Lonchura striata: one gene and its partners. The protein of the gene in region 1 interacts with the protein of each later gene in a biochemical or structural test. Links are inferred from orthologs where the notes say so. Each region holds a gene or a part of one and is shown on either strand. Other genes may lie near its edges.

Region 1 (7,558 bases):
GCCCGGTGGTCGATGGAGACCTCGCTGCTGCTCGGCCTGTAACCACCCGCAATGTAAATGTCGTTATCAGGAGACACCAGAATTCCCACCTCCCTCAAGTCATTTGGTGGCTTGCATAGTTTAAACACTCTCCCTGTGACCGAATCTAAACAAGGCACTGTTTGCTTCTTTCCTGAGTGTTTGTGGGCAGCATCGAAGCATATGATCATTTCGGAAGCGGTCATTCCAAGCCGCTGTGTGTAGCCATTGGCACTGGGTTGTCCCTTCTGTACACAGCTTTTGGCCATCGCCTGTGCAAACACGGGAGGGATTTTCTCTAGAAACGTCTCGTCCAACAGAGGCAGACGGATGCATTTGGCAAATATTTCTGGAAGGTGCACTTCTCTCTTATTTTGTTCATGCTCAAACCACCTTATAATGCTCTCATAAACATGTTCTTCTTTATCTACATTTAAATCATCGCTGTTGAGGATACTTATCAGTTGGTCTTTTCTCAACTGAAGAAACTCTTGCTCTTTGGTGACACTCAGAAACTTCTTGCGAATGTAGTCTTGCGACCTGTCTTTGAGTTCCTGATGACCATAGTGATCAGCGAAGATGAACACCCCAATGGAGTTCTGTGGGTCCAAATGACTGATCATGTATTTAGCACACTGGTCTTGTATGGAAGGGATCTGGAAGATACTGGCTGCAGTGAACAAAGCTTGAACGTTGGCCTCTGTCAGCACTACTCTGGAGGTATATGCATAGTTCAACACTAAATGCATCGACTCTGCCTCGACACCAACGATCCGAACTTCCTTCTGCGTGCTCTCGGTAAGGCCGCTCGTGAACATCGATCTGCAAGGCAGGAACACCCAGCAGTTTGTCTGCTATTGCCTTTAGCTACTGGCACAAAATTAAACCGATTAAACTGGCACAAATTAAACACATCTAGTCCCAATGCCTTTGCCCCTCTGTCAGCACAAACATATTTAGCACAGGTGTTAAACTCTCCTGTTGGGGTACCTAAATTTAAGATCATTTCTACTCTTACTGAATCAAAAGTGGAACTTCTTAATTATCTCATTAACCCCATGTTAAAATTCACTGAGTTTACAAGCAAAGATCTTGGCATTTCCAAGTCTTTGCATTCAACCTTCAGCAAGTTATTTCACATGCATGCTCAAATATGTAACTTGAGAAAAAAACAAGTAGTTGCAATATGTTCTTACTGTATCTCTGATAACCTCAGTAGCAGGGGCAGTTTTGCTTGGTTTAAAATTGTGTGACATTGTCTCCAATGAAACTCTCCTTTAAGAAACAGACACAGATAATCCACTGACCTTAAGAGAACAACAATCTTTACTTGCTAGTGCACTTTATTATCTAGAAATACACAGAACTTATTTTCATTAAATGAAAATCTAAAAAAATCATACCTACACTAATACTCTGTCTGCTTTGATCCCCACTAGAACAATGGATGGTTTTACCTGAAATAAGGACTGATTGCAGCAAGAACATTCCTATGACAGGAGAATGTCTTCCCATGATCCACTTCCACCACAATGTCTGTCAGCTGTCCTTCATCATACATGGTCTTCAGCTGTTGGAGAATACTACAAGCATGGAAGGGGTCCATTCCACTGCTGACTTGGTTTGAGGGAGGGACTCCGTTCAGTGTTTGTGAAAACTGACTTGGTTCTACAAAGCAAAATTGAAACTTTAACAGAAAACAACCAGTAACAAAAGAAAAAAGCCTCCAAAAAAAATTCATGCATGTGCCAAAACCCAAAAAGCACAAATTGATATTCCATAATTTCTCAGCATCATCATCCTTCAACAGCAAGCCAAACATTGTCATGGGTGTGTAAATACCTAAAGAGATCTCAATACTTTTTCTTCCTTTTCACAATGTACTTGTCAGTTACTATTCAACTATAAAGTTCTGTTCTATCCCCCTGAAGAGTTTATATCCATTAAGGAAAACAATACAAATACTTCATACAACTGAGGAAGGGGAAATCAAGTCAAGAAACACAACACATATTGACATTTAAAATAGAAAGGGACACAGAGGAATAAAATAAGTCCCCAAACTACCCCCACCATTACACAAGCCTGTATGTAAATATTTAACTTCACATTGAAACAGGAACTGGCTCCTGCCTTACACAAGTAATGGCTGGAGCAGAGGCTCATGAAGAAACAGCCCTACAATAAGTCTTAACTTAAAACTCGTAAATTTGTAAATACAGTTACATCTTTTCTCTACAAATAAAACAGAATTATAATTTGAAATTTCTCACGTGTGAAGGAGCTCATATATGACCGTGGAAACATATTTAGTAGAGCATATGCTGCTAAATAACATGTGATAAGCCTAATGAAGTAAATCCCAAAGTGAAAATTGAGCAATAGCTCAAGCACAAAATCTGTTTCGTAATAGCACCAAAATTTTTACGCAACAAAAACAACAAAGGCGAGCTGAAAAGAAAAACATTAGGTGGCCAGAGCTGCAAATCAGGTAAAGCTACTGACTGCAACAGAGTGCTTCCGACAAAATTTAGGCAACACAAAGGGGCAAAGAGGAGCGAGAGAGCACACCCATTTTCACAGAAGCCTTTCATCAAGCCCCCTCCCCTCACCCAGCAGGGGGGTCCCTCACGGGACAGCTCCTTCAGCCTCACACAGACACTGCCCCGCTCCCACACACAGCAGCCGTCCCCTCACGCCATCAGCTCGCACGGCCGAGCCCCGCTGCCCTGCCGGGGACCCCTCACAGCCCCGAGCCCCCTCACACAGCACAGGCCCGAGCCCCCTCACGGCCGCTCCCCCACAGACACCCCTCAACACCCTGCCCCGGTACCCCGCACCAGCACCCCCCGTGTCGCACCGGGCGCTCCCCCGTGCCCCGCACCGACCTCCCAGCGCTGCCATCCTGGGCCCCGCTCGGGCAGCGGCTCCGGGGGCGGCCCGGCAGGAAATGTCACCGCGCCGCTTCCCCCGCTCACCGCCGGCCGCGCACCCCGCAGCATCAACCGCGCCCATTGGCCAGTGCCCCCGCTGCCTGCCGGGACATGTAGTGCGGGCTGGCAGCCCTTGGCGCGCGGGGCCTGCCGGGAGTTGTAGTCCCTCCGCAGCGGGATGGCTGGGAGTTGTAGTTCCCGGGGGGAGGCGGGACCAGCCGGTTGCGTAGCAACGAGGCGGCGGCGCCTCGGCGGGCCGCCATTTTGGGCCCCGGGGCAGCGGCAGCGCCCTGTCCCGGCGGGGTGCGGTGTGTTCCCCTCAGCAGCGACACCCGGCAGAACTGGCCTCTCCTGAGGGGGAAATTGCCCCTTCCGCCCCCAAACCCCGCACTTCTCCTGCCCACGCTGAGCTGCGGCTCCTGGGGCGAACGCCGAGGGGAGCGGGTGGCGCCCGGAGCTGCCGCCGCCGTGGGTTTTTCACCCAGTTCTGCGCAGTATTCCCTGGAACTCTGAACGGCAGAAGGAGATGTGCAAGCTGCTCTGAAATCCATGACAGTCACACACCATGTTAAAGCTTCATATAAATGGCATTTGCATTGCGCACAAATATTTGACCTTGGGGCGCAGGAATGCCTGCCAGCGTCCTAATGCTCCAGGGGTGTGGTGAGGGGCAGGATGTGAGACCACTGGATGTGCAAGGCTGAATTAAACTTTGATAGGAACTAAGAATCGGCTACTTGGTCTGAAAGCTTGTTACACCAAGAATATTCTGAATTTTTCCAGGGTTGGTGACCCCAGCACGCTGTGGACAGCCAGATCAGCCCTACCTGTCCCACAGAGCTGCGAAATGAATGCAGCACACAAGTGACCATTTCATTGCCCCTGACCCTTAATATCACATTTCTCTCTCCATCCCAGAGGACAAGTGGATGATAGCCACCAGGTTTTCCAGTTTCCTAAAGCAATTAGCCACTGGTCTCATTCTTGGGAACTGTATCATTATCAGGCATTTGTTGTGGAAGAGGTTTTGAAGTTTTTTCTTTGTGAAACACAATTAATGAAGAATTAAATAATGGAAGCATTGCAAAATTGTGTATATTTTTCCTGGTTCTGTGCTAAATAGATTTAATACAGCCTCACAGGTTTTAGCTGGGAAGTTTTGTTTGGGGAGAAAAAAAAATAACAAAACAAACCAATTTGAATAATATTTTTAAATTAATTTCAGTTAACTCTCAGGAATTAGTAGCCTGAGTACATGAGCACTTCTCCAAAGCAGGTGAATTTAAAGTGAATTTAAAGGCAGTGCAGCCCCACTGGTGGTTTTACTTTGGCTTGCAAGGCACAGCCTTCCCCTCACTCAGCAATTATCAGTGGTGTCCAGGCTGCTCCGATGATAATGCTGCACAACGCAGGAGTGATGGAGACTCTGATGAAGGCGCTGTAAAAGAAAATAGAACTTCACGTCCGCAAATGGATTCTGCAGTTTTCCAATTTCCCCATCCAGCAACGGCACGGCCTGTGAAATTGTCCCTAGAAATCTGAAACGAAGGGATGGAGAATTCCTCTGCTCTTACCCTTTAGCAAATGACATTGCCTGATACAGTTCATTTCCTCCGGTGTGGGCGCGTGGGCCGGGCTGGATTAGTGTTAAAATGCAGAAGCCAAATGTAGAATGTTTTTTAATACAAATCCCACATTGAACTGGCGCTTTGGAGCGTGAGCCTTTCTTGAAATTGCTTACCTTTGTATGATTTTTGGTGAAGCAAGCAAATTGCCATACAAACAGGTTTAGATGTGCTTTGAGAGGCATCCATAGCAGCACCTTTGCTAAGGCTGGAGCCTTTCTCAAGTGGAATAACACCATCACCCTCTCCCCTCCCTGGAAACCTCCATCAGCACTCCTAGGATGTTGCTCCGTGGAGCACTGCCATGGAAGTCTGGGGATCTGGGTTTTTCACCCAGTTCTGCACAGTATTCCCTGGAACTCTGAAGGGCAGAATGAGATGTGCTGCCTGTGCAAGCTGCTCTGAAATCCTTGACAGTCACACGCCATGTTAAAGCTTCATATAAATGGCATTTGCATTGCACACAAATATTTCAGCCTGTTCTTTCAGAAATTACAAGATGCTTGAAGAATTCCATCTCCCTTCTGCTGCATCATTTTCTTTCTCCTGTTGTTTTGTCTGTGGAGTGATACATGCCCATATTTAAGTGTAGAAGTGAAAAATTGGGCTCTTAGCTTAATGCTGCCACAAATTTCTTCATGCTGTTGACCAAATAATTTAATTTCATGAATTCTTGCTTTCCAGGAGACAATGGGGACCTGTGAATAGACATAGTATATAAATTCTTTTATTTTATAATAGGTTTTGGTATGTATTTTAATAATTTTCAATACCTTTTTTTTTTCAGTCTGTCAGTAATGCACTGAAACCTATTTTAGGATTTTGCAAGGATTTAAAGTTTTTGTTACTGATGGATCAGAATGCTTTCACTTGTGCTTTAATTTCACATCTAATGTATCATTCCTGGAGATAGAGCTTGAAAACATACACTTGGTGGCGAAATTTTCCCATTTGATATTCCAAAGGCTCAAAATAAAAAAGAAATTATGTCAATTGATAAGGAACAAACAGTCTATGTCTGTCTTTTATAAGTGATTAGAGAGACTGTACTGCTTATAAACTCAGAATTGGCACTGTGTGTTCTGGGATTCTTGCCTTCAGAATAAAAATGTCTTTGTCATGAGCTCAAGAGAGAAAAGAGGAAAAGAAAAGGTTTCAGGAGAAAGTGGACAAAATACAAACTTTTTCAGATATTTGAGAATTTAGAAGATATCCATAAAAAGAGTTCGGGTAAACAATGAAGTTATTGAAAAGGTTTTCCTTTGTCATTGCACCTGCTGAACAAGTTAATTAGAAAACTGGTTCATCTGGTTGCCTTCAGCATAGGGGCAGAGAGAACATCATATCTGTGAAGTGGTTGGTGTGGGTCACCTGGGAGTAACCTGCCCCAGTGCTCCTGCTGCACAAGAGAGGCTGCAGAGAACTTTTGGAGCAGGCAGCTCTTGCTACACAGTATTTGGTGTGTAGGAAACTTCCCATGTTTTCTCCTGTCAGCAAAACAAAGAAAGGCAACTGGACCAAAATTCAGAGAAAATGTGAACCAGGGTTGAAGCTTTCAAAGGGAACAAATTTTAATCCATGTGAATATTGCCATTTTTGTTTTGGATATCATGTTTACTTTAAAGTTGTAGGAAGAGGTCCCTGTATCCTGTTTTCCTTTTTTTCTTTCCCCTTTTTACTGTTTTTTTCACTGAAAAGAGAGCATTGTGAAAGGAAGGCACAGCCTATCCCCACATTTCCCTGAAAAGAGAAAACCAAGGGCTGCAGAAGCTCTTTTGTTTTTCTTGACAACATTATGAATGGTGGCATTTTTCATGACTCTTGAGTTTAAACATGCAAACAAAAATCCCACCAAAATAACTCCACAGTGATTTCCAGCAAAATTGTTTACCTATACAATTTAAATAAACACTAGTAAAAAAAAGTATTACTTGCTAACTCCCAAATATGTCTCAATTACTATTTCCAGTTTTTCAGTTATTTGTGCCTGTTAATTTGCACTGTGACACTGTGAGAAGCAATAGAGCTGATGCAGCTCCGAAAACCCCTCATATTTTAATTGGAAAAATCTTGATATTCACTGTGGAACAATCTAACCTTGAAAAACAATCTTTTACTAGGTTGTCTTTAATGCATAAAACACTGCTCATTTTCTGCAATTCTGCCACCGAGGGGCACATTAATTTAGCTGCACAATAATTTAATACATCGATCCATTGATTGGAGCAGAGAGGTTTTTGTTTAGCGGTTCCAAGAAATCACACATTTCTTGCAGAATCCGTAAAAAGGCAGTTCTGGCTGCAGTTTAAGTAGGGGGAATTGCAGATCATGAGGGAAAGTTGTCCTTCAAAGGCGATCGATCCCGCCACACTGAGCACAGTGGGTGTTCCATCAGGAGAGAGGCAGGCTGGCAGGGGGCAATTAATGGGGCAGATACCGGAGTGCTGCCCTGATTACCCCATGCCAGACACTGGCTTTGGCCATGCTGAGCCAGGCTGGTAGAAACAAGAATCCTGATGAGATATGGCTCTGCTAATGTCAAGAAGTGCCACTTCCTAGCAGCAGGAGCGACTTTATTGAAACCATCTGTTGTTTTGGAAGACACATGTGCACGCACGCACACGTACTTCCTCCTCCCAAAGTCTTTAACCTTTCTCTGAAGGCTGACTGGAATTGCAGAGCTAATCCCTCCTTAATCTCACAATGACAGGCTCTGCTGCGGTCAGCAAGTCCCAGCAGCTGCTACAAACCAGGGTGACTGGTGCCATTTAGGTGAAGTGACAGTGATGTATCCTGGAGCAGTCAGTGCAGAGCAAAACAGCCATTCTGCCACTGTCAAAATAAAGTTTGGCAGGAGTAGCCTCACAGAGAAGGCTGGGGTACCTGCACCAAGACAAGAACTCAGTACTCAGCTGGATCTCACCGCTCTGTGCAACACAGGGAACACGAAAAAGAGATTCAGTGAGTTTGGTCCCCCTGAAA
Region 2 (7,301 bases), on another chromosome or scaffold:
TTTCTTACTTTAGTAGAGAAATAAAAACATACACAGTCAGGTTGGTGCTCAATGCAAGGCATCCTACAGAAAAAACTCCTTCTCCAGGGGCAGCTACAGTCTCAGAGTAAGTATAGCCTCAGGGTTAGATCAAATATTCCCAAAATACCAGGTCCTGGTATTCCACAGGGCCAGGAGAAGCCAATCTAAAGGGTACAAAAGCCATTTGAACTTGGGCTCCAAGTCAAAAGGAAAGTCAGGTTGCAGAGAGCTTTAAGAAAGGAAGTGGCTGGACCTACAGAAAATGTGTTAGAAAAAGAGGAGGAAGAGGCCACATAAGTATTAAACACTTAAGCTGCTCAATTGGGTTAAAACATTAAGCTGGAGAAAGATTTCTCCAGGCACTAAATCATACCTGTACCAGAACAGATGATAAAGTTACCCATGTTTTCATTTGAGAATTAAAGACAACACATTTGCTTTATTACAAGGGTAACACTGGGAACACACTGGTGTGACTCACACGAGCAATGCTTGTAAGCCTTGGGACACACAGTTATCAGAAGTAAACAGTCTCATTTCTGGGCCAGTTTAGCTCATTTTATTTGTTCATCCATTTTAAAAACAAGATTTGTTTAGCAATTTGATGAGTAAAGATTGTGCTTGGTGTCAGAGTGTTCTGCCAGCACAGCTGTAACAGCAAGTTTTGTGCAAGCAGGAAAAGACAAAGGCACGTTTGCTCTTAGAAAGTCCTGTAACTACTCCAATAATCCTTTTAACAAAGTAACAGGGCAGCCCCCACAGGCAGCTCTGATCCTGCAACACCATCCTGATCCAGTGGCAGCTGACAGCACAGCACGCACTGATGTGATAATTTGGTGTGAGTGACCAGGAGCTCAAGAATACCCTGTGAGGGGAAGAAATGGTGTCTGCTAGCTCTGTCCCTGTGGCATTCTGGAACATCTGAGGCCTGTAGGGCTCAGGCTGCTCCTAGGACTGAGCTGGTCCAGCTTTCTCCAGCTCCCAGGGACCCTTCCACTCCCTCTCTGCATCCTCCAAGTGTAAATGCAGCTCAGGAGGGAAGCCACTTATGGAACTGCAAGACTCAGCTTTAGGCTCAGTCTGGAAGAGTTACTGGAGAACACCTACAGGGGTGGCATTGGTGAGAAGGACAAGAACCACAGGGTAGATTAAGGAAGGACATTTTTGGGCCAAAATCCTATGAGCAATAGAATGTGATAAAGCCAGCGCACTCACAGGAGCACTCCAGGATAAAGATACTGCCCAACATATCCCTCATTCTGACTCCCAAGCAGGTAGAACTCAGGAATAACAGATGTGGGGCAGGACCAGAACAGAAGGGTGATGCTGAAGAAAGAAGAATTAAACCTGATGCAAATGCCCTGTTGCCCTTCAAGTTTAAAAGCAACAGTGTCTGGGAGGGTTTGCTGCAGCAGGCAGGATAACCAGCACGTGGGAAGGTCACCATCAGCACCCATGAGAGCAACAAACTGTGAGAGGGAGGAACTGCAAACCTAATTCTATGCTTCTAGATCCAGCCTTTCTCCTGCTCAGGTATGGAGGACAAGAGCAAGGCACGAGGCATTGAGCAGAAACACCTCTGAAGAAACACTTCCCAAGGCTGCTGCTCCTAATGCTGAGGAGATCCTCACTCCAGAGCTCCAACTCCACAGATTCCCAGATAAGCCAGCACTGAGGCTGCCACAGGCCTTGGCAGTGCTCACTCCAACATCCAACCAAAGCACAGGGTGGGTGCAAATATCACAGATGGGAAAGCTCTCTCCTGCAGACCTTCAAATGGGGGATAACAATACAGGAAGGCATTTGGAACATGTAAAGACTTGAAAGGACAGGCTGAAACCAGGAGATTTCCTCTGAGTCAGATCATCTGTGACCTATGCCAAGGTTTAAGTCCATGTAAGAGCTCTGGCATTTCCAGCACCTGCTCAACTTCTCTGTTCTCGGGTCAATAATCCTGCAAAGCACGTGGCTTTAAAAAGAAAGTGAAACAGAACAGGGAAGGATATTTCTTACAGTAAAGCATGACTGAGCTATGCAACACTCCAGCATCAGCCAACACAAACAGCTCAGCTGCTCAAAACTAAAGTAACAACTTATCTCCAAGCTCAGGAAGTTTTAAAGCAGCACAGCCCCGGACATCTGAAAGGAACTGCTGTGAAATCAGAGGTTAGGAGAAAATTCTATTGAGCACAGCTATCATTGGAAGTCCTCTGACTACATGTAATTCCAACAAATAAAAATCACACATGCCATGCAGCCTAGACGTCAGCACAGTCTGGAATCTATCCGAAACTCATTCCCTCCTGTGACTTACTTTTCCCAGTGGGTAAAGATGTCCTCGAGAGAGGTCGAGAAGGAAGGGAGTAATTTCTGTGAAAGCAGAGTGAACACCAGTCAAACACCGGCCCAAATGTGACCCAATTTCAGATGTGCCCACCAGACAGAAGCAGCAACCACGGGGGCCCATCCAAACCTCCCCAGGAAAACAGGACCGTCTCTCCCTGCACACACCTCCCGGCGAATCCCTCCCACTCCCCGCCCCGCTGCACCCAGGGCCGCGTGTTTCCCTGGAGACTTCTCCCGGAGCAGCACGCGTTCGGGGAGCACCAGCCCCGCGGTACGGGAGGCTCTACCGGCCGGCTCGGGGCTGGGACGGCCCGCGGGCACCGGGAGCATCCCGGGTGCCGGACACCACGTGGGTCCGGCGTGGAGCCACGGCCCGCGGTGCTCCCGGCACCCGCGTGGCGCTCCGGTGGTCGGTGAGGGCGCGGAAAGGGACCGGGCCCTGCGGCCCCGCCGAGGCCCGCGCTCCGGGACCGCGCCCCCGCTGCCTGCCCCGCGTCCCGGCCCGCCGCCCGTCACCTGTCCGCTCTGCGCCTGCAGCTCGCGGGCGGCCCGCGCGAAGCCGCCGCGGAGCAGGTGCTCGTGGATGAGGGCGAGCAGCTCCCGCCCGCCACCGCCGCCGTCGGCGGCCATGGCGCGGCCCGCGTGCCGCGCCGGAGGGACGCGGCTTCCGCTTCCGCCGCGCGGCCCCATGGGAGATGTAGTGCCGGGAGTGTCCGTGGGGCGGCACGGGGCGGGGGGACCCGGCAGGGAGGGGTTTGTCACCTCATGGGGGTCCCTCACACCGCCCCCGCGGGAAACGGGACAGAGAATAGGAAACCACCCCTTGGGGGCTCTCATGCCGCCCCAGTCGGAGATGGGGAGAACGGAAGGGCGGGGTGGGGGGTTCACGCCATGGGGTTCTGTCACAGGACAGGGGGGTCACACCATGGGGCTCTGTCACAGGGCGGGGGGGTCACACCATGGGGCTCTCTCACAGGGTGGGGGGTTCATGCCATGGGGCTCTGTCATAGGACAGGGGGAGGTTCATGCCATGGGGGGGTTCATGCCATGGGGCTCTGTCACAGGACAGGGGGGTCACACCATGGGGGTCTCTCACAGGACAGGGGGTTCATGCCATGGGGCTCTGTCATAGGACAGGGGGAGGTTCATGCCATGGGGGGGTTCATGCCATGGGGCTCTGTCACAGGACAGGGGGGTCACACCATGGGGGTCTCTCACAGGACAGGAGGTTCACGCCATGGGGGTCTCTCACAGGACAGGGGGTTCATGCCATGAGGCTCTGTCACAGGACAGGGGGGGTCACGCCATGGGGGTCTCTCACAGGGCACGGGGGTCACGCCATGGGGCTCTGTCACAGGACAGGGGGGTCACGCCATGGGGCTCTGTCACAGGACACGGGGGTTCACGCCATGAGGCTCTGTCACAGGACACGGGGGTCACGCCATGAGGCTCTCTCACAGAACGGAGTCACGCCATGGGGGTCTCTCACAGAATGGAGTCACGCCATGGGGGTCTCTCACAGGACAGGGGGGTCACACCATGAGGCTCTGTCACAGAACAGGGGGGTCACGCCATGGGGCTCTGTCACAGAACGGGGTCACGCCATGGGGGTCTCTCACACCCCTCAGCTGGGGACGGGGGACACAAAGAGCGGGTCCCGTCACGGCGGTCCCGAGCAGGGAGGGGGCGGCCAGCCCACGGCGGCTCCCTCCCGCCCGCAGGGGAAGCGGGGCTCACCGCACGGCCCAGCCGGGCCCTCACAGCCCCGGGCAGGAGATGGGGCGAGCAGAGAGCGGCAGGGCCGAGGACGAGCCGGCACCAGCGCGTGAGGCACAGCCCTGTGTAATTCTGTGTAATTCAGAGCGGTTTTCCATCAGATTCATCCAAAGTGCTCTGAAGGCGAATCCTCAGAGCTGATTTAGTGCTGGGTGGACTCTGAGCTGCTCGGAAGAGCCACACTGGCGTTTTTGGGGCTTAAATAAGCAAAGGGGCAGAGGGAAGAAGCTGCTCCTGATGCAGAGCAGCTGTTGGAGAGGGGCCTGTGAGGGGACTGCCCCACTAGCACCCCTCACCCCGTGCTGATACTTTCCAGGAAAAAATCTGGCTCCCATCACTTTGGCAGGGGTTTATTTTTGGAAGGCTTAATAATGTCCGTGGTGCGCCTGTCGCTCATTCAAAATACAGACCCTGTATTTGTATTCTTAGGCAGGATTAAATCTAAAACTGGCCTGGCTCCAGCTGGCTCTTGCACCGAACGCCTTTGACACCAGCATGGTCCAAGGCTGTAAAGGCACGGTCCAGGTGGCAGTTTTACAGCTCCTGTAAATGAATCGCAGACCTGGACAGCCCTTTCTGGGACTGACCTCCTCCTGCTCAAGTGGGCACTGCAGCCTGGCGTAAACGTGGCCTCAGCACACTCTGTGAGGGGGTGGCTGGACCACAAGCTGTCCCAGCGCTGCTCTGAGGTGACATGAGGCACAAAGTCTCAGCTGGTGGCCTGGTTTGCAGCCCTGGTTTTCCTGTCTGGAGAGGAAAAGCCAGATGAAACAGCCCAGGGCAGAGAGGAGAGAGAAGGGTGTCTCCTGGGGAGGCTGTGGATGGGGCTGAGCAGACAGAGGCAGCCTGAGGATGCTGTTCATGGCCCCTGGAAATGAGGTTGGATGCAGATTGAGCCCCTGGAGCCCAAAAAGAGCTCTGCTGCAAGGATATGGATGAACAGCTTCAGACCTGCTTTGTGATTGTCTTGGAATGGCTTTATACCTTTAGGAATTGCTCAGTTTGCTTTGTTTAGTTAAAGAAAAAAAAGCCAAATCTGAGCACTAACCCAGCAGGCTGGTGATTAGAGGAGCTGGTGCCCCGGGTTCAGGGTCTCTTCCAGGCAGCAACGCTCTCCAAACATCTTGAAACAAATGTCAAACTATTAAAGGAGGCTTGTGTGGTGCAGGGAATTGCAAAAGCACTGTTTGGAGAGGTCTTGGGGGAGGGTGGCAGGTGACCAGATTAGCAAATCATTGAGATTCCAGCAGAGAGACAAAGGAGGGGAGCACATCCTGCTAACCTGCAGGGGGTGGACAATGCAAGGAGACACTCAGGTCAGGTAGGGCAGGAGAGAGGAGCACAGCCCTGCAGGGCGGGGCTGGAGGTGTTCTGCCAGCCCCGCTTCTCCAGAGCCCTCTGATCTCCGTGCCAAGGGGACGATTCTTTACAGGGTGCCCGGGGAAAGCATCGCAGCATTTGGGTGCCAGGAATGCAGCAAGCCCCTGCTCTGCTGCATTTTCAGGCCTCTCCTCTTTGCCTGTGGTTCAGGGCACACATGCACTAGAAAGCATGACTTTGACCAACTTCAATAAAACATGGAAAGGAGGAAGATAGATGGGCACAGATGGGAGGAAACGCTTTCATGAGAGACTGCTTGAGAAAGGAAAATAAAGGATGTTAAAGCTCTGAGCACCCATGTACAAATAGCTTGAAAAATTGACTCCATTTTCCCCCTGCCTCCACCAAGTATCTCCTCACCGGTCTGCCATAGTTCAGGGTCACCTGAGTCCAAAGCTTCATACCCTCAAACCACGAATACACTCCACAAACCACAGCGCAGGGCCTGGGAATAACACAACCCACTTGAATGAAGAAATCTGAAAAAAAATAATATGTATGCTGCACCACAATTACAGGTAGAGAAGGTATTTGAGGTGGTTAGTAAACATGTCAAAAAATAAATACAGCTATTCAGTCAGCAAACAGATGCATGATTATAACCAGGAAAATCTACCCCAGCCCAAAACCAGCTGAGATCCAACAACATGTGCTTATTAAGGAGTGGTATTTTTTTGTGTGTGCACATTTTTTGGAAGGAGTTTGAAAATATTTTGCCCACTCTTTATTTTAGGAAGGTGAAATGTCCCTGGTGGATTTCAAAATCCAGCCTCTCAGGTATGTGTTCTCCATGCCAAGACACTGAGTCACGAAGGGATTGGAGGAAGCTGTTGGAAGTCCAGACAGGGGATAAAACAGCTGTAATTGAGGAGCCAGCTCAGCTCCGTCTGCTAATAACCACACAGCCCTTCCCTGCCCTCAGCCTACAAGCTGAGGTCTTTGCTTGCTGCCACTTTCACAGGCTCCCTGGTTATTGCTTGGGGTCAGACTTGTCCACACCTATTCCGTTCTGAATGACTGCTTGTGTCCCAGCCAAGCCTGGGGTCAGGAGTGTGCCTGCAGGCTGGGGAGCTCTGTCCTTCCTGTGTTTTTCCCAGCAGGAGCTGACAGCCCCCAGGCATGTCTGCAGGACCCTTGGGTTTGCAGGGACACACAATGCTGCTCTCCACCTTCAGGTCTTTGTCCACCCTGGCATGTCATGTGTGGTAGCAGTGCCATGTCTCCTGTCACCTTCTGTTTGGTGCCTTTTGTTTGGTGCATATGGGGTTGGTGATGCCGGATGGGACTTGCAGAATGAAGGGACTGTGATCCAGAGGGATCATAGGGCAGGGTGGCACACAGCACGTGTGGCATCTATATGTAGGAAGGTCTCAGGCTCTTTTCCCTTTGCTTCTGGCTGGTGTTTACACCACAGTGGTGGAGCAGGGACAAGAGGAAAGATGCTCTGTTTGCTCCTCAGCTGCAGCAGCTCCTCACTTGACATGTTTCATGGCTGCTGGTCCCATCCAGAATATTAGTTGCAGGCACAATGCTCCTTCTGCCTTGGCTCCAGAGCAGGGTGGGATGGGTGGCCAGGGACAGGACCCTTGAGACCCCCAACAAGTAACTCTGATGTGTTTCATGGGTCAGAACATTGGCTGAAAATGCAAGTCATGTTTAGAAGGATAATCTTCATGGCCCAGTTCAGAAGCTGAGCTGAACTTCCCTGCTACTGAGTGCCCTGTCAAAGAGCTGCAAGCCCTCTGCCTCCTGGAAAGAGCCCAGGGGGCACCACCTGG
Region 3 (7,532 bases), on another chromosome or scaffold:
TTAGAGAAAATTTTCTGGAAACTGTCTTGTAGCTCATGGGAAGTTCCAAAACTAAAGGCTTAGTAATAATCTTCCCTGCTGTTTGAGGAGACGACAATGGTAAAAGTAATAGATAAACAGTTATTCAAACAATGTGGTGCTCAGGACCAGATGTTTTATTTTCATTCAGTTCTACACCTCTATGTCAGAAGAGACTAGACTGGAGTGCAAATGGCAGCAAAAGCAGATTTTCAGACTGCTATGTTAATACGTATGTCTCTGCATGTAGGTACAGCCCCCAGCACTCCTCCCCCTGCTTTTTGGATTTTGCACTTTACTCATGATACACAGTAACAGGTACCTGATTTCGGTGTTGCTGCTTTTGGTGGTTGCTTCTTTGGTGCTTCTTCATCTGAGCTGCTTGAGTCAGAACTGGAACTCTCTGCTTTCTTCTGAGGCTGGATTTTGGTCCCAGCTGGCTTCACCACAGGTTTTGCACCTTTCTAAACAACAGCAGGAAAAACTGATTAAGCCTCAAAGTCATGAAAAGTAAACAAGGCTAATAAGATGGACACATATACAGAGTGTAGAAACAGCTGTCTTTCACAGAAGTTACGATTTAGATTTGAAAACGCCAGTCTGCTTAGTGGTCAGGGTCTGAAAATCCTGGGAAAAGTTTTGCTCTAGAAAACCTCCCAGAAATGCACATCAGTCTTCAGTTTTGCCTCCTGAAAATGGGGCAGTTCTGAGGCTGGCACTGTCCTCTTCTCTTATCTACAGATCCCACTAGCTTGAAGACTGAAAATAATGACTGGGCAACTCTAGTTGGTCTCCTCTAGTGTACAATGTTATCACTCTTCCTCCCCTGACATCATTGTTCCTTGCCTCCACTTCAAGACCATGACTGCAGCAAGAAAAAGCAAAGAGAAGATTCTTTTTTTTATGCAAACACATACACACACCCATATACATAAAGATCAAACTCATAGTACTGAATCTTTCTTTACAAAGGAATTAAGCCCTGGCAGTCTTAGGATAAGAGCAAGGACCAGACTTGGATATGAAACAAAGAGGGTGGGTGCAGGACAAAAAATTAACTTTTCCTGGGACCAATCCAAACTGCACTACAGAAATGTCTTTTTGCATGGTTATCTACAGCAGCATGGGCACTTCATAGTCCAGGGATAGTAAGCCCAATATCCCACACAATTCTGTTGGTTAAATTTGCTAGTATTCATCACTGTCAAACACACATTAAAGATGCTGGAAAGAAAAGCCAACCTTTGCTGGCTTCTTTTCCTCCTCCGAGTCTGAATCATCGCTGGAGTCCTCACTGCTGCTCTCTGCCATCTTGGCTGCAGGAACTGCTTTTGCTTTGGGCACAGCTGATGCTTTAGCTGCAAAAAAGGGACAGTATACATTGATGGCAAGTTAATTCACAACTTTCTAGTACTTACATCCTGCACTAGTGGGTGTTAGGGCAAAAGGATACATTAAGGTAATTAAACCATGACTGAAGTTTGTAAAACTGACTTTGTTTCTTGAGCAGTGTATGGCAGACTGCTCTAAAATGGGTAAGCAAAAAGATAAAACCATTCCAGGCTTTATCTTTGTCACACACAAATTTAAGTGCAGATTTCTATCACCAAAGAGGACATCCCAAAAAGAAAGAGCACCCCTCAAACTGAGATAATATTAGCTGGGTCTGCACACCTTCCAGCTTAAAGAAACCTGCTGAACCAGTACTGACTGGTGCTTGCAAAGAGAAACACTGCAATGTCGTGTTAAGGTTCCAGACACCCAAATGTGTTTTGGCCAAATCCACTTCCTGGTTACTGACTGCTTTTCAATAATGTGGAGCAAAACAAAGAGTTTTGTCTTATATTATATTTACAAATGTCCTTATCAAATAAAAATAAGATCTAAATTCAAATTCAGCTTTAGGATGGCCCAAGTTGACGACAAATTTTTCTGTGTTTCTCCCTTTCCTCATTTATTCTTTCCCTCCTGTAAACCTACTGCTAGACACACACAATCTTGTGTACAGTGATTAATGAAAGATACAAGAACAGTTTCAGATAAAACAGAAAAATCTAGCTCACCATATAGCAAAGTGCAGCACAGGGATATATTTTTTGGTAGCACTAGTACATGAGCTCTAAAGAAAAAAGGGCAGCAACCTCACGCAAGCAGCAGGTGAGTATGGATACCTAGGATTTCTCTGGAATGGCTAAAACCTTCCATGGGACACAAACTGCTGTGCCTAAATTTTAACAAGATACAGAGATCAGCCTTAACTAAAATGAACCTATCTTCCATGTCATGGGTAAAAGACCTGCCAAAACCGAAATCAGTTAATACAAACCTAATCCCTGACAGCTGCTGAAAGACCTTAAAAGAGCAACTGAAGTTGAGCTCTAAACGCACGTGAGAAGCCAATGGCAAACATAATCCGGGTGTGCACCAGGGCGGCGCACAAACCTACCACGTTTCTTGGCCGGGGGCTTCTCATCCTCTTCGCTGGAGCTGTCACTGCTGCTGGCGGACGGCTTCCTCTTCGCCTGGGCGCCGTTCGGGACCAGCTTTCCCTTCTTGGCCGCCGGAGACCTGCGGGCAGAAGGGCTGAGCGGGGTCCCGCGGGGCGCGGGCCGGGCGGAGGGACACCGCACCCCGCGGGGACTTACCGCAGCCAGTAGGTGAAGATGTCCAGGAGGGAGGCCGCGTTGGGGTCCTGCTCCTTCTAAAGCGAGAGAGGCCACACTCAGTCAGTCAGTCAGTCAGTCAGTCGGTCGGTCGGTGGGTCGGTCCCCCCGCCCACCCGTCCGTCCCGTCCCGTCCCGTCCCGTCCCGCTCCGCTCCGCTCCGCTCCCCGCTCACCGCCGCCGCCTCCCTGGCGAGGGCGCGCGCGGCGCCCTGGCAGCCGCTCTCGCGCAGGAACGCGAGCACGAGGGGGAACAGGTCGCTGGGCACCGCGCGCCGCTCCGCCATCATGCCGCGCCGACACGTGCCGCGCGCGCACGCGCCCGCGCTTGCGAGCGTGCGTGCGTGCGTGCGTGCGTACGCGCGCCTACGTGACCCCGCCCCTACCGCTGCCGAGCTGCCCGCGCGGCGCCGCTCCGGGGCGCTGCCCGGCGTGAGGCGGCGGGCACGCTCCGTGCTGCTGCTGCTGCCGCCTGTGGGGCAGCGGCGGGACAGGGGCTGGGAGCCCGGGAGTGCCCACTCCGCTCTGGATTCGACTCTTAGACTTAAGTCCGCTTAAGACTCACCAGCTTACTCGTACTTGTAATCTGTTGTAAATGGCTGAAAGGAGACCGCTGGGGGAATGCTGGAGAGCAGGAGCTGGGCTGCTCTGGGGCGGAGAGCAGGCTGGGAGCTGCGGGCAGGCTCGGTGCCGGCAGAGCCCTCAGCAGCGCGGCGCAGCCCCGCAGGGCTGCGGGCGGAGCTCGGGGCCGCTGCCGGCACTCGCCGCTGCTCTCAGCCTGAACCCATACAGGAACGTACTGAATACTCCTGCAAAATCCCTACGGGAACAGAGAGAGCTGGTGAAAGTAACACCATAATCCTAAAGCGGCAGCCTGTGAGAGACAGAAAATGAATTTGAGACAAGGTTGTCTAGAATATAGGCTTGAGGGGCTTCAAGGTGGGAGATAAGGTATGAAATAGGTATAGCTCAAATAAGTGCTGAAGACCCGGACCTGACCTTAAATGGAGCTTCTGGACCTATGGAAAAGGGTGGATGTGGAAGCCCCAGATGGGGCTGAGCAGGACAAGCTTAGTGTGTTAGTGTGCTCACAACACTGATGAGGATGAGGATGAGATTTAATTCACCTGTTGTATATTTAAGTAGCTTTAGTTACTTTTACAGGAAAGTTTTTGTTGGTTTTTTTTTTTTTTTTTTTTCTGTAATACTGCAGATTTGCTCTGCTGGATGTAGCTCTCTATTCCTGCCTTTGTGATGAATGGCACTTTTCTTCTTTTCCTTCAATAGATGGTACTATAAAGCTTGCTGAGGGCCAAGGAAGAAGAGAGTCCTGTACTTAAAGTCTAGATTTAGGGCTGCCAGGCTCAAAAAAACAGTGGTAGGTAGGCAGTATTTTGCTTTTTATATTTCCCCTACCTAGCTCTCTGCACTTAACTATTTCCAAATACTGCTGTTCTGTGCTCTGTGGGTGTTCTGTGCCTTGGTGCCCAATGAATATGCACAACTGGACGGGCTCTGTTCTCAGCAAATTGTACCTGTTCCTGGTGTTTCTGGAAGGACCCATGTTTGCACTCATGGGGAAACAGAAGTCAGCTCTTGTGGTATTTTGTACTGTAAGATTCTGTAATTTTGTACAGATGCTGTAGCCTGTGTGGCAGAAAAGGGGTGTTGTGCGGAGGCTTGGTTAGATATGTTTACTTGTTTTTGAGATTCCCTGCCCCTTTTATGTGTGGAATAACACGAGGCTGTGTTGCAGAAAGGAAACTGTTTGCAGGAACTAATAGTTTTTGTAGTTTCCCCTCTACAGTGACCTACAGCTGCAAGCTTCATCTGCAAAGCTCAGCAAACTTTTGTGTTTTTGCCTGCGTTGGAAAGGAAAAGATGCAGCTTTTGCTGGTAAACTGTTGTTACTTTAAGCCCTGCTGTGTGAAGTAACTGTGTGAATTTCCCTGGCTGTGAGGAGCCGGGAAAATGACTGACTGTGTTTGCTTTACTGGCTCACTTTGCTTCTCCTCTGGTTAATAAGTATCTCCCTCTCCTGCCTGGCCTTTGCCAGCTAGGTCTGTTCCCTGTGCTGTGTAGCCGCTTCTCTTCAAAGGTGTGTGGCTCTCTGGGTGTGTTCGCCTATGCTGTGCCTGCAGCTGTCCAGATCACCTGGCAGGGAAAGCCATTTTGTCCTTGTATTCCCCAAGACAGTAAAATAATGTGGAACAGTCATAAAGTCATCCATTTGTTTAAATAGTTCTTAATATATACTTGCTGTTGCATAATAGTAAAATAATTTGCTTAAAGATTCTCGTTTCCAACTAGTTAACTTTTGTCTTTCATATAAATCCCAAGTTGGGATTCTTCTCCAGTGTCTGTGTGTTCTTTAGTGTATAATTTTGGGATGATTCAGAGGGGAAAGTTATGGTTTCTTCTTTGCAAACCTGGAATTACTCATAAAGCTTTATCATCAGGAAGTGCTTTTAGTCCTAGTGCTTTCCTATTGAGAGAACACCTGGGTTTTGGAAGACAGGTAGTGGCATGCAGTTTGTAAGCTTAAAATAGGTTTTCAGTAAAGAAAGATTTGGAGGTAACAAGAGAGTTTGACTAACTTCTGAGATAGAGTTTATTAGTGGAAAACAGTTGGTTCCTTTCTGCTTGTAATCACCTCTGTTCTAAAACTAGTGGTGACGTTAAGCTGTTTACAGAATGTCGAATGACTGCCTTGACTGGGAAGCCAGATTGTAAGGAGTCTGCTTTTGGTGTGAAGTGCATCAATGAAAGATCTCACTGGTTTTTCAAAGTGGTTTTTCAAAGTTTGCAAAGGAATAGGCTGAATAATTTAGGCAGAATCTGTTGCTTTGTCTCCAGTGACAAGATTAGTAAATTGAGTCCTACTCTCTGAACAATAACGTTGTCCTTCTGGTGCTTATTGTCTCTGTACTCAAACATGAGCACAGTCTTACAGAAACTGGTAAATTTCATTTGGAAGACAGCATCTTCTAGCTGAAAACACAGAACATCGAGCTACTTCATTCTTAGGGAGCAGCTTGGCTTCTCCCTAGGAGTTTTCCTTCCTCATAGAAGACATGACAAAACCTAAGTTAGGGATGAGTATAAAACAGGTATCGCTTATTCTTCTCCTCAACTGTTGTTCCCGGTTTCTTGAGACCACTGTATTACTGTAACACAACTTTCCTCGCTGTAGCGCTGTTTCCTCGGCCACCTACGGAAAGTGTGATAGGAGCCAGCTGGAACAGGCAGCTTCCCTCCTTGGGGCAGAGTCCCGCCGAGTACCGGAAAGGCGACGTGCGGCCGGGCAGGGGCAGCCCGTGCCGGGCTCTGCAGGGGGCGCCGCGGGCGGGAGGCGGGGCCGGGAGGAGCCCGGTGCCGTGCCCTGGGCTGTGCTGGGGGCGAGGGAGCGGCTCCGGGGGATGCACCGCCTTGCTGCGCCGCCGATGTGAGGGAAGGGGAGCGCCAGCCCCGGACCATGGCGGCCCCCGGTAGGTGCCGCGGCTGCCGTCCCGGGAGCCGCGGGGAAGCGGCGGGGCTTCTCCGCGCGGTTGTGCTGCGGCGGGCCGCGGCTGCCCGGAGCTGCCCCGCGGCACGGTGCCGGCAAGCGGAGCGTAGCGGAGCCCTGCCCGCTGCCCGCGCGGGGCGGTGCCGCTGCGCGGCTCTGCGCGCCCCTGGCGCTCCGCTGCCGGAGAAAGGGAAGGCGGTCCGCTCTCCGGGTTCAGGGAGCCCCGGCGCTCCTTCGCTCGTAGCGCTTTCTAGCTCGCCTTGCTTCGCTTGTCTGCAGTTCAGGGCAGCTGCTGGCAGAGCTTTCCTGCGTCTTAAGTGAACTTCGGCTTGGCAGATCAGCGACTTCTGAGGGAGGGTTTCTGTAGAGTATTTTGCTCGTGTCCGCCTGTACGACTTGTGTGCTTTTCTGTGATGTTTTATAGAGAAGTCAGTTTTTCCTAAATATGGCTTTATTCTTCAGCACCACTTCCTTTTGGGGGTATACTTGGTGCCTCTTGCCACAATGGCACAGGATCACAAGCTAAGCTAGTTTGCCGTAATTGAAAGTGTTTTAGCTGACGTGTGTGCAGGTAAGGCTACCTAGACTAAGAGTTGCAGACTCAAGGGGAGAGGAGTTTAGCCTGTATTGTGTAAATCTTGCTAATGCCCAATTTGCAAGTTCCTCTCTTTGCAGGGAAGCGTATGGGTTTTATCTAAAAAAGGAAAAAAAACGTGCCATTCTCAGGGTGTGAAGTAACATTTGTGTTTCATTGACGCGTATCTCCTTGTGAGGTAAAAATAAGTTAAACGGAGGTCTCGGGAGACTTGTGGGCAAAACTACTTTTCTCCTTATAAACAGAAGGTGATTTCACAGAGACCCTTAAAAAAAGAACAACTTTAGATTAATGTATCATAATGCAAATCTCTCGTTCCTCTCTGTGAAGTTAAGTTTGCAGAAATGTTGTCTGCTTTGGTTCTGCTGTTTCCTCTTACTTGTTTGCAGCATTTTATTTAAAGTGAAGATTTTATATTCCAGTTGAGGTAAGAAGTCTCATGTGATCACTATTACTGTGCATTTCATGTATGCAGAGTATGCATTTATTTCATCATACATCACTTAAATACACACACTTCACATACTGAAATGTGGAATGTGCTGAGGACTTATTTTAATGGCCCACCAGCAGTTTCTATGACTTGCTGGAAGTGCTCTCTCTTATAAGAATTTGATTATTAAGATGCTTTGAGTTGCATTTCCTTTATGCCATAAACAATTATCTTTAATGGAGAGTCAATTCCCATCTGTCAAGGATTGTTATTTTGAACAGCATTATTTCTGTATCCTCCATACACATGAATCACAAAA

What was found. The genes of interacting proteins can lie anywhere in the genome.
Region 2: the proteins of KBTBD8 (region 1) and TCOF1 form a complex in vitro, tested with the Homo sapiens proteins (2 studies listed by BioGRID, with this or other methods). The link is inferred for Lonchura striata from reciprocal best matches to the Homo sapiens genes KBTBD8 and TCOF1.
Region 3: the proteins of KBTBD8 (region 1) and NOLC1 form a complex in vitro, tested with the Homo sapiens proteins (2 studies listed by BioGRID). The link is inferred for Lonchura striata from reciprocal best matches to the Homo sapiens genes KBTBD8 and NOLC1.

Annotation. Positions count from the first base shown.
Region 1 is NC_134614.1:18,915,493-18,923,050, reverse strand, and holds the start of KBTBD8 (kelch repeat and BTB domain-containing protein 8), read right to left. Parts: upstream 3,017-7,558; 5' UTR 2,923-3,016; coding exon 2,907-2,922; intron 1,687-2,906; coding exon 1,476-1,686; intron 841-1,475; coding exon 1-840. UniProt on the Homo sapiens protein: Substrate-specific adapter of a BCR (BTB-CUL3-RBX1) E3 ubiquitin ligase complex that acts as a regulator of neural crest specification.
Region 2 is NC_134617.1:6,328,592-6,335,892, forward strand, and holds the start of TCOF1 (treacle protein), read right to left. Parts: upstream 3,012-7,301; 5' UTR 2,998-3,011; coding exon 2,884-2,997; intron 2,392-2,883; coding exon 2,336-2,391; intron 1-2,335.
Region 3 is NC_134609.1:13,347,097-13,354,628, reverse strand, and holds the start of NOLC1 (nucleolar and coiled-body phosphoprotein 1), read right to left. Parts: upstream 3,012-7,532; 5' UTR 2,971-3,011; coding exon 2,857-2,970; intron 2,720-2,856; coding exon 2,664-2,719; intron 2,587-2,663; coding exon 2,465-2,586; intron 1,377-2,464; coding exon 1,261-1,376; intron 483-1,260; coding exon 341-482; intron 1-340. Other genes in the region: PIK3AP1 (phosphoinositide 3-kinase adapter protein 1), read left to right, coding at 6,156-6,168. UniProt on the Homo sapiens protein: Nucleolar protein that acts as a regulator of RNA polymerase I by connecting RNA polymerase I with enzymes responsible for ribosomal processing and modification.